Linked DNA regions of Schizosaccharomyces pombe. The protein of the gene in region 1 interacts with the protein of each later gene in a pairwise test. Each region holds a gene or a part of one and is shown on either strand. Other genes may lie near its edges.

Region 1 (5,140 bases):
GTGCCTTAAATTCTTTAAAGAAGTGGTGGACGTAGAAGACTTTTCAGGAGTTGCAGAAGCAGCTGGTGAAGTGGCTTTTTTTGACAATTTCTTGGATTTCCTTGTCTTCTTTACCTCAGATTTGGAATTGTGCCAACTCCATAAAGGTTTAAAGCTATCACAGAAGCCAACGTCGGCAAGAAGATTGGGGAATAGCCAAATGCCAGGGCGCACGATGACAGCAGTAATGCAAAATAAGAAAAAACGTAAAATAACCAAAACAAAGAATAGACCGATTACTCCAAGGCCTCCCATACTTAAATACCAAGCACCCTTGCGCATAAACATTGGCCACAAGGGGAACAAAACGAGTGCCAATACGACAAGAGCGAACAGTACTGCCAAAGCCATAACGCGTTTTGGAAGAGGCTCGTAGAGCCAAACATAATGCATATCGTCTTGAAAATCTTGATTACGATTTATCTGTAATTCTACAAGCTTCTGCTTTCTTTGTTTAGGGGGGAGTTTATCAACGCGAACCAGCATCGAATTCATAATGAGCAATTTGAGAACTTCGATTGCTTCCTCACGGCTTGAAATTTCTGGAAACCCTTTGTATTTCTTAGGCGTATACGCTTCGGATGTTAAAAAGCGAAGAACACGCTTCACACGAAAGTAGTATACACGTTTTCCATTGAGGATCGCTGGCTTTGTTTTCAGCTCAGGGCGAGACTTGAGGAAGTTTGTAAAGCGCATCGAAAACTTGCACTTGTCTTCATCCTTCAAAACTGGTACATTAGAAGAATCCATAGGCAAAATCCTTGTTTGGAAAAATCTAAAATAATGTGGTTCTGGAGTAGATGAAGTCTGTACACGTCTTTAAGGTAACGATATTTAGGTCACGAGGTAAAGCCAAAATCAAAATTCAGTATTATAGATTTGGGAAAATCTATATTATAAATTTTACATTTAGTTTAATCATTGTTATTATCATGCTGTCGAATATTGATTCATTCTTTAAGTAAATTTGTAAAGTTGGATAGTTCAAAAAGTTAATTCAGTCTTAAATTTTTGTGCCTGTGCCCCATATTCATAACTTAATTATACTATAACACTTGAAAAAAATATTTGATTATTAGGGAGAGTAAAGCACTGATTAAGGAATACTAATCTTCAGAAGTTAACTCTAAAAAAGATGCTCTTCCTATTCAACTTAATTGATAACATTCATTGCTGTTCGACGAGGAAAGCAAAGTCTTCAAATTCATTTCATCAATAAATATTTATCTATACAATTATTCACTCATCCATCATATGACTAACCTTCGCAACACATTAACTAGGAAATTTTGATTACATAAAAGTGAAACAGCATCATTAAACAAGTCAAATTTCCTTTATTGAAAAAATCCTCAAATATCAAAAAGATCCAAGTCATGAATCTTTTCAGTGATTGAATGAATTTCCTCATGCAAAGGTGCAAGACTGGAGAGTAAAGTCTCTACCTCAGAAAACTTTCGTTTCGCTTTAGCATCTTCAATCATATTTTCAACGAGGAAAACTTGCTCCTCTAAAACTATTCTTGTTTGCATCAACTCTTCTTGCTTCTTTTCAACTTGCTCTTTCTTCTTTTCTAGCTCACGTTCAGACTCAGAAGTCCAAGCTTGGCCAACCTGCAAATGGTAAGGAATGGCCTGCAAACGCAATATGGTTTCTTGTAAATATCTTTTTGCTTCATTAACAACATTCTGCTTAAATTGTTCTTCAGCATCATTGGATGAGGGATGATTGGCGATTTTTTTCATAGTTCCATCATATTTCACACATAGCTCAAGAAATTTTTTTCGTCTATCTTTTACTATTTTCAGGGTCGCTTCAGTGATTATTTCACCACTTAGTAATTCAGACAAAGAATCCTCGTAAAGTCGATAGTAATTTACCATAGCCTGTCTAAAAACTTGCAAGTGTTCAATATGTCGGATGTAGCCAAGTGATTTCGATCTTTCCGTTTGATAAAGAACGTTACGGAAATAATTTTGATTGCAACTCATACAGATGAGGAGAGGTTGCGGGTGTTGAGGAAGACTAATCTCTAATACACAGAATCTGCAGATCACGCGTCCGCAAAGCCGACAATGCCGGCGTCTTCTAGTTAGAGTAAAAGAATTGTTGCATTCAGGACAAATTTGTACAACGGAATCATCTTGCCAATGAACGATGCTTTGCTCCAGCCTTTTAGCCTTGTTCAAAAGAAGCGCATCAAGCATCGAGACATTTTCCGATGTCCATAGCTCTTCAAGTTTTTTCATACGTTTGCTTAATCTTAAAAACTCTATTCTTCTTTTATCAGCTAAAGGTTTTCGAAAAGTTTCGAATGTTTGAAAACGTGAGCGAATTAAACCATTTGAATCATTATACCCAGGACGTCCTTCATAACATTCTCGACAAACACGACACCAAAATCCATTTTCAGAGTCGTAGGTAGCATGAATACTGAGTTTGATCTGGTACATTGAGTGAAAGTTGCAGAAGATATAACCGCATTTACGACAATGAATATGACCATTGATGAAATTTAAAAGCTTATCACACATCGGGTCATGGCAGACCATGTCAGGAACCTCTGGTTGCCAGTGATTTTTGACAACCAAGGAATCTGTGAGCTTAGTTGCTTCAAGGCCGACAGCACCTGATGAATCCCCATTCTGTTCATATGGTTCCATTCTCCAAAGACGTTGAGCGGCTTTCATTTGCAGAGCTGAAGCACCATTTAAAGTCCTTGTTAGCCATGAATTAATGGAATCTTGTCGCTTGTGGATTTTTTCATTATCATTGAAATGAGTAACATCGAGATGATCATTTAATGCTGACAAATTTGGTAATTCCAGCCCACAAATTGGGCATTCAGTGGCTTTAACGATATTTGAAGAATCACTTTGAGCACTAGTAGAAAGATTAGTCCCGGAATGATTGCTCAAATTGGAAGAAATTCGGACTCCAATACGTCTTTTACCATTTTGCATAGTAATCCCTCTGAACTTGATTTTTAGACGAGAATTTCAGGCAATTGAAGCCTTTTCAGTGGCTATATAATTAAAAGTAGCTAAAGTTTATAAATTATTATTACACAGAGCTTGCTCTTGCAAAGGTGCTGAATTCGCCTGACGGTAAGAATTATCACTGTTAGAAGAGTAGACAACTGGTTAACCTGGTGGAATGCTAAACACAGAATAAACAAACATTAGAAATTTAATAAATTAAGTTGTTTAAAATAAAATTATGAGAGATTCTAAAGAAATCACAAATCCTCTGATCAAATAATTAAAGAGTTAGACTGCAATTTTGTTTAATTTTCAATTCAGGAAAACATCCGGTCTGAATAAATTGAAATAACGACAAATGGAGTTACAAGGTATGTAGTCTTTAGCAGTGCTTATTTAAATAAGAAGAAAGATCGCTTTATCAAAAATCTAACACGAAGGCAGCCTGGTCGTCTTTGCGTACTATAAGTGTTATTTCAAAATTTGCCAATGCAATGGCAAGGAATGCAACTCAAGATCCTTGCGTTTTTAAAGATTCTGTCAAGTTTATTTACAACATATATCCTCCATGACTTGAAATATATAGTAAGGTAAATACGCTAATGTTTATTGACACCTTTAAGTTAAGGCATTACGGTTCATGCAATTCTTTTAACATAAGGATTATTAAGCTTCTCATACTTCATTAGATTGAGATTAAAATAGCATTTTATAGTCAAGGCACTTGGTACAAAAATACGTATTCAAAGAGAAATACGGTTTTAATTAAATGTTAGTACATCCTTATAAATGAATAATATATAAAATACTATAATCGTCTACTCTGAAACCCAAAATACTCATACAAGGTGAAAATTAGTATGTGTATAAGATGACATGCACCTGATAACCTACTCAACTCAAACTACTTATAAAATATCAGGAACCCCAGTTTAAAGCGCTTTACATAACTTTCTTTATAGGAGAGAGATATTCTTATGAAATGCTCACTCCATAGGCTTTAAAATGAGTAAAGATTTGATCAGTAGGTTGGAGCGACAATTCAAGTTGAAACGTGATGAGTTTCAAGACCCATTGGAACTTTTAAAATTTGAAAAGAATCTTGATTATGCAAGGAAATTATTATGGGAAGAAGGAAAATGCCAACTTGACAAAGTTGCTGAACCTCAAGGGCTTTCGAAGAGAATCATGGATTTACAGGGTAGGATTTATGATTTAAATGTTACCATGGAAAAAAAGCTGAAAATTGAAGAGAAAAAGATAAAAAGTAAACAAGAGAAGGAGATCGCGCATGCTCTTCAGAGTATTCAAGAAAGGGAGCTTAGAGAGCGACAACAGATGTCGAATGTCGAAGCTTCCAATGCCCAATTGCTCACAAACCAGCGTTCAATGCAAACTGAGATATCTGAGTCACTTTTGCATTTGGCATCTGTTCTAAAAGAAAACGCTTTATCTTTCACAAATGCTCTAGTAACTGATAATCAAGTGGTAGAGCGTACAGGAAGCTTACTCGACAAGAATGCCCACAGTCTGAGACATGCCAACCACGGTGTTCAAAGCTACTCTAAGTCAAAAAGGCTGTCTTTTTGGCTACAGTTAGGAATGATCATTGCTGTAGTTGTTTCTTTTATCGTGATGATCTTTATCCTACAGTTTACCAAAAATCAAAATTAATTATTTTATTTTCGTAAAGAATTCTCGGACTGCTTCCTTTTGTTGATAAATTTTTTTCCCCTTAAGTTATCGCAGTGGTAACAGTACACCCGTTTCTTTTTAATATACATTTTGATACACAACCATTATTGTTGTTTCAAGTTGTTTTCTTACTCGAACGTATTCATGTTTTTTTTGTATTTGAGATCAATGCGTAGATGATATAAGTAAATTGAATAACCAAAGCATACGCAATTTACCATTGTTTTATTTCATTTAACCTTTTTCCAACAGCTGAGTCAATATTAGCCCATTCCTTTATCAATTGACACTGCCCTCAACTCTTATGTTTTTAGTAAATAAGAAACAACATCATTACATTACAAAACTATTAAACTATCATAAAATACAACATATACCGCATGTTCAAAAATTATTATATTAGAGATCAAACTCTAGTTATTGAA
Region 2 (5,750 bases), 2.8 Mb from region 1:
CATGTATTGATAATGAGATCTTGGATTCAACATCTTGATGAGGGAAATAAAAGCGAAGTTATACTAAAATTACTTCAGCTGATTTTAGCTGATTTTCGAGAGCTACCTTTGGAAACCATTACATTAATTTTCAATGCCTTAGTGGACTCTTTACCTACTTCAAAGCATATTAAAAATTCCAACGATATATTGTCTAGCGTTTTTACGATTAACGACATGTTGATTGATGAAATGACAGCTTATCTTTCTAAGAAAGAAAGTTTATGCAGTGGTACTTTCTCATGCCTTTTAGCCTGTTGCAATTCTGTGTTAAGGACTCAAAACTTAACTAGCGAATCATTGAATAAGTTACACATACTAAAAGTGGGTATTGAGGAGAAAGCGATATCTTTGAAATTAAACGAATTGCCTTTTTTGGAGAATTGGATTTTGTTCCAGTGTCTTTTAAGTTTTGGTGGTGATGACTTTTTAAAAGTTGTGGCTTACATGGTGTACTATCGGCGTACGGTAGGAGAAATGAGTTTCAGAGTATCAGATTTTGAACTTGCGTTATCTAGGCTTTCTACTAATGATGCAGATTATGCTATTTTGAATATTTTAAATTTGCTTACGTCTAATGAATGTGACGAATTTGATTATTCTGTCCTTATGAAAGTTGTGGGTGTTTTTGCAAATTACTCTGACTGTTTCCAGCGTAATAGACACCTGGTGCATATGGTATTGTTGTGCTGCACGCATGTTTTCTACAATCAAACTTTAAAGCCCGCTACTTTAATAGACTCTGCTCTAGATGTTTTTCTGTGTTTCGTTCAAAAGACCTCTAAGTTTATTTCTTTAGACTCTTTCAATACTATACTTACGGCTTTATCTACAATTCTTAATTTAAAAGAACTAGAGTGCGAACCTAAAGATCATGCAAATTTAATCTTAAAAATTATTCAAATTTTAAATGGTCTCCTATTTAATCATCGATCTTATATGTCAGGACGTTTTCATGTATTTTACAGCATTTTGAAAAGCTTGTTATATAGTATGGTTCAACATGACAGTGAAATGAAAAAAATCAAAGGGATCGCTCTCATGAATTTCTATAAACCAAAAAAAGTTCCCATTCATGTTGTTCAGTCTTTTTGTAGACTACTTACAACGTGGATGAATCCGAATCTTATGCATGACTCAAACAAGAAAAATTCTTCGCTTACGGACGCCGAAAGATTATTCGTAAAAGCTACGACCAAGCATTTTGTTTTTCTTTTGACCGACTTTATGTCCGCCCAAACTGTTTATCAAATCGATATACAAGTCAAAGAACTTTTAACAAACTGCTTTTACAATGTTTATGAAAATCTTTCAAATCACGAAAAGCAAATGGCTTTGGTCGCAATGAACGCTCCAAGCAAATCTCTTTATCAAAAATTCGTTAACGATTACTTAATATTTGCTAAGTGGAATGAAGCATAAAAACCTTAAGAAAAATGCTTGATAGCTATAAAAGTTTTGTTTTGGAAAAATTCTGCGTTTTGTTTTATTTTATTCTGGTTGACATATACATAATATCCTAAATGGTTAGTGGTTATATAATTAATAAGAAATTTTTGAAGTTGACTTACATCAATGTAAGCGGTAGAATTAAGAATTGTTGTACCCGCAAGAATTATACGTACACCAGGTTGAGTAGCATTAAATTCCGAAACAAAATGAGCTTCCTCATACGTTGCACCCCCTACTATAACCACAATAATGTCTTGAGGCTTTTCATTAGACGTTTGAGCTCTTGTTTCAGAGTTCAGAAAAGGGTGTGTGGTTTCCTTGAGTCTTCCTTGAATCAGGTCCAACAGAATTGATTTCAAAAAAGGATTATGCTGAATGTACACATTTTCAACACCTCTTAAACCCTTTAAACCACTACGGGCACGCGAAAAAAGGTTGGATGGTGGAAATACATCACCTTGGCGAAATGAATATCCAGCCACATGCAATAAAGTAGGAATGACAGAAACTTTCAGTGGATTGACACCTCCAGCTATGAGCATTTGTTGGAGTGCCGAAACCTTAGCAGGATCGATTCTTTCAAAACGAAGGGAGTATAATGCCGCAAGACGTAACTTCGTATTTTCAGATATATTTGAAAACAAGAGTCGTTGTATATCATTGAAATCGGTGGATTGAGGTTCATTACATACCAGAGATTGTTCAACTTCACCAACTTCTAACAAGTTCTCTCGCTGAACCACCTGCGAAATTTCGCTTACGAGAGAAACATGTTTACTTACGTTTCCAGATAACCTCCTGTATTCAGGATACGCTTCTAAAAATTGTTTCATATCCGCAATGCTTTCAATTTCGCTAGCTTTTTTTGTAGATTTGGTTTGCAAGTGTGAAACATAATCCTTTATTTTAACGCCTAAATCACCAAAGTTGTCAAACCTAGTTTCTTTATAAAAGGGATCCAATGTCGGATTTAAAACAATTTCAGTTGATTTTTCATTATCAGACGTTGAGTTCGAAAAACTAACTCTTCCATTATCAATCCCAAATAATTCATGAACCATGGCTTGATAAGTCCACTGGGTTAAAAGAGGAGTAATAGGGTCGTTTTTACGATCAAGTAAAAGAAGTATTGGTGCAGTGTCAGGCTTTCGAAAATTAAATAATTGAGATTCATGCTGAATTGTATAACTGACTTCTTCAGCAAGCTTAAGGCACAATAAACTATTGTTATCGTATCGAATAACAGGCTTTTTCTTTAAAGATAGTAAAAGAGAAATAATGCCTTGATGAGTTCTATGAAAAGCACCATCTTGCCAATTGTCTGGTGAATCTTCAATGATATGGGGGATGTTGAAGGAAGCAAGATCATTGTTTACCACTAAATAGTCTAAAAAAAATTCCTAAAATACGTGTTAGAGATTGTTAAGCGTTTTGTAAATCTCCATAACATTGACTTATAAGCAATGTGTAAAACGTAGTTGCTTACTTGAATACTTTTAACAGCCTCAAAGTCGTCGGACTCCGCCAACCGTTCGAGAAAACTCTTGGGAATGACATTTGTAAAATATAAGTGATATTCAGCGTATTTAGGATCTCGTAGCTCTTCGCATAAAAGACGAAGGGTAGTTGGAGTAGGACGTAAGAAAGCCACACACTTGAGATGTCTCAACTTTTCACGTTTATTACCGAGTAAGCTAAAGTCAACATTAGCATAAGTATTAGAAAAACAACTATTAACTGTACACTGTTAAATAAATCTGCTGCTCCAGCAAATTTGATTGGGTTATACATGAAGATACAATTTTTGTGGTGTCCTCTTCAAGCAACAGAATTTTCAAATCCGAGACTTCCTGAAATATACGCTTAAAGTAAGATTGGGAAGCTGATACTAAATCCATGAATTTTATGCAATTGACTTAAATTCGTATAAAGGTGATACCAAGTGACCACAAATTTACGAACGTGTTCAAATAGGAAGACTACAGGGAGTCAGGCTAACTCTTGATTATGAAAAATGTTGAAGAATAGCCAACACTGGAATTAGAAGGAATAGTTAAACGGTTCAAAGATAAGTTCAAGTTTAAAAGTGTTGCAATGTAAGCGCTTTGATGGTGTATAGTAATTAGTTTCAGTAACCTCACCACCACTTAGGTAATTTGTTAAACTGTCCACAACTCCACAATTAATCAATGCATATATAAGGTAATTTAAATTTTTGAAGAATAGCCTGCTTCCTTAGTCTATCGATGTCAATATCTAATTTAACTACTCCTTAAAAAGTGCCTTGGAATTAAAGCAGCTGGAACACTGTAACCTACTTTCATAGCCTAGCTTGAAATTCTGTTATTGCTAAACATTGTATTTGAGTCACAAACAAAATGGGCTTTATGCTTTATGAAGGAATTGACTCAAAATCAATTGAAGAAATAACCGAAGAAAGTGAGAAAACTAAAACTGACTTACAAAAAGCTAACACACCTAATAAAACCGAAGCCGTTCATTCGTTAAACAACACATGTTCAGAACAAAACAGTGGTACAAAAGATTACCTTAATAGCTTACAGTTTCTGCCATCAAATTTCCGACCGAAAACCCACAAAAAGAAAAAAAGTGTTTCGAGTTATCTATCTTCTACAATCCAGAAGAATGCAAACGAAAACATTCCTCATGTGCAATGTCGAAATGATTCACAATCTACTGTTACTACCAGAAATCCAACTCCCTTTAAAATTGAAGTGGGGATTTATCCAAGTAAGCCGAATAATTTAAATAAAGAACCTCCTGCATCAACTGTTCATTCAGATAATCTTGGGGATGCAGTTGAACACGAATGGGTGGAGCTATATGACCCTTTATTCCCAACCAGCTATTCAGTTTTTAAAGAATCTGATTATGCAAATTTGTGTGAAACAAATTGGAGTCATTATGTTAATCAAGTTCCCTCATTGTCAATTGAGGCAAAACTTTCCAACATTGTAAATGCCTCAAAATCCGGAATTGGACCTCCTCCTAGCCTATTAAGTCATGCAACTTTAGCACGGCCGTCTGAGTCAATGGTTTTATCAAACAATATTGCTGCGGAAGATCTAGATTTTTTTAAGAAATCACCCCCAGTTCCTGCTATATCTAAAAAGGAAAATGTAGCGTTAAAAATGCTTCAACGGTGTGGATGGAAAGAAGGTCAAGGTCTTGGTCAGCACAATCAAGGCATTATTAATCCACTCCATGTAGAAATCTCGGGTTTCGTTACAGAAACTAAGCACTCTAAAATTAATGATAAATGAGGAGAATCTTAATGTTAATTTTTTTATCAACGTGTAATTGTATATTTTATTAGTTAAATTAACGGGGCTTAATGAAAATGAAATTTCTTAATCAACTTTTAAAGATAAAATTTGAACATGTATGCGGATTTAATACTATATGATCACATATGATAATCCTATTTTTTTGACGATTTAAACTTGATTTTATGGATTTCAGGATTGAAAGCATTGGAGGAAGAATGCTGCAATTTAATTTTGTTAAGCCGATTTTCGTTTTCATACCTGTTTTCATATTGACTATAACGTTCCTCTGCTCGACAAATAATATTGTATAGCTCACGAGCTATTTCTGTTTCATTGCGTACTGTTTGTAATAAAAATTTATACTTTTTCTCAGTTTCTTGTGAGAATGAAAGAATTTTTGAAATTTCAGAACACTCTGCCTGTACTTTGAAAGAATTTAGGTAGCTTTTCAGTTTTTCAACATTCTGGATTATAATTTCTTGCCTTTCCCTTTGTCGTCTAAAATTCCACTTGGCATCAACAGCTTCTCTAAAGCATTTTAAAAGTGAATGAATGTCGGTGTGATTTGAGTACATGGAGATGTTAAAATAATCATTACTCCCTAATTTTTTTAACATATTTCTCTCGTCTTTAAGCAAATCCCACTGTGCCAAGTAAGAGTTTGCTTGCAATAATAATTGATCTGTATTGGGATTTTTTTTCTCAGCCAAGTTTGACAAAATTCTTTCAGACTGGGCAGATAACTCAAAGATGTCCTTGCCAAAGGCACTGATATCTTTTTGAATGGTATCCTTTGCGTTTTGAGAATTTTCAACATTGACTTTTAAAAGTGATACTTCCTCATGTAACTTTATAACATCGCTGTAAAATCCTTTTTCTTTCATGTTTTGGGAAGACTTTACCGAATTTATTATTTCGTCTAACGCTTGACAACAATGTCGATATGTGCCATTAACTTTATCAATTAAA

What was found. Proteins that work in one complex are often made in the same cells at the same time.
Region 2: the proteins of pep7 (region 1) and vps45 interact in a two-hybrid assay, tested with the Schizosaccharomyces pombe proteins (one large-scale study listed by BioGRID).

The regions. Positions count from the first base shown.
Region 1 is NC_003424.3:3,599,741-3,604,880, reverse strand, and holds pep7 (FYVE tethering component Pep7), read right to left. Parts: upstream 3,165-5,140; 5' UTR 3,003-3,164; coding exon 1,392-3,002; 3' UTR 977-1,391; downstream 1-976. Other genes in the region: translocation subcomplex subunit Sec62, read right to left, coding at 1-789; SNARE protein Use1, read left to right, coding at 4,026-4,694. UniProt on the Schizosaccharomyces pombe protein: Required for vacuole segregation and vacuole protein sorting. Possibly part of a complex which tethers the vacuole membrane to microtubules, either directly or via kinesin or dynein-like motor proteins.
Region 2 is NC_003424.3:810,582-816,331, forward strand, and holds vps45 (vacuolar sorting protein Vps45), read right to left. Parts: upstream 3,574-5,750; 5' UTR 3,390-3,573; coding exon 3,235-3,389; exon of another isoform or gene 3,186-3,234; coding exon 2,978-3,185; intron 2,892-2,977; coding exon 1,611-2,891; exon of another isoform or gene 1,559-1,610; coding exon 1,526-1,558; 3' UTR 1,462-1,525; downstream 1-1,461. Other genes in the region: ribosome biogenesis protein Urb2, read left to right, coding at 1-1,461; rbm17 (G-patch type RNA-binding protein), read left to right, coding at 3,870-4,775; alx1 (BRO1 domain-containing protein), read right to left, coding at 4,934-5,750. UniProt on the Schizosaccharomyces pombe protein: Vacuolar protein sorting-associated protein involved in Golgi-to-vacuole protein transport.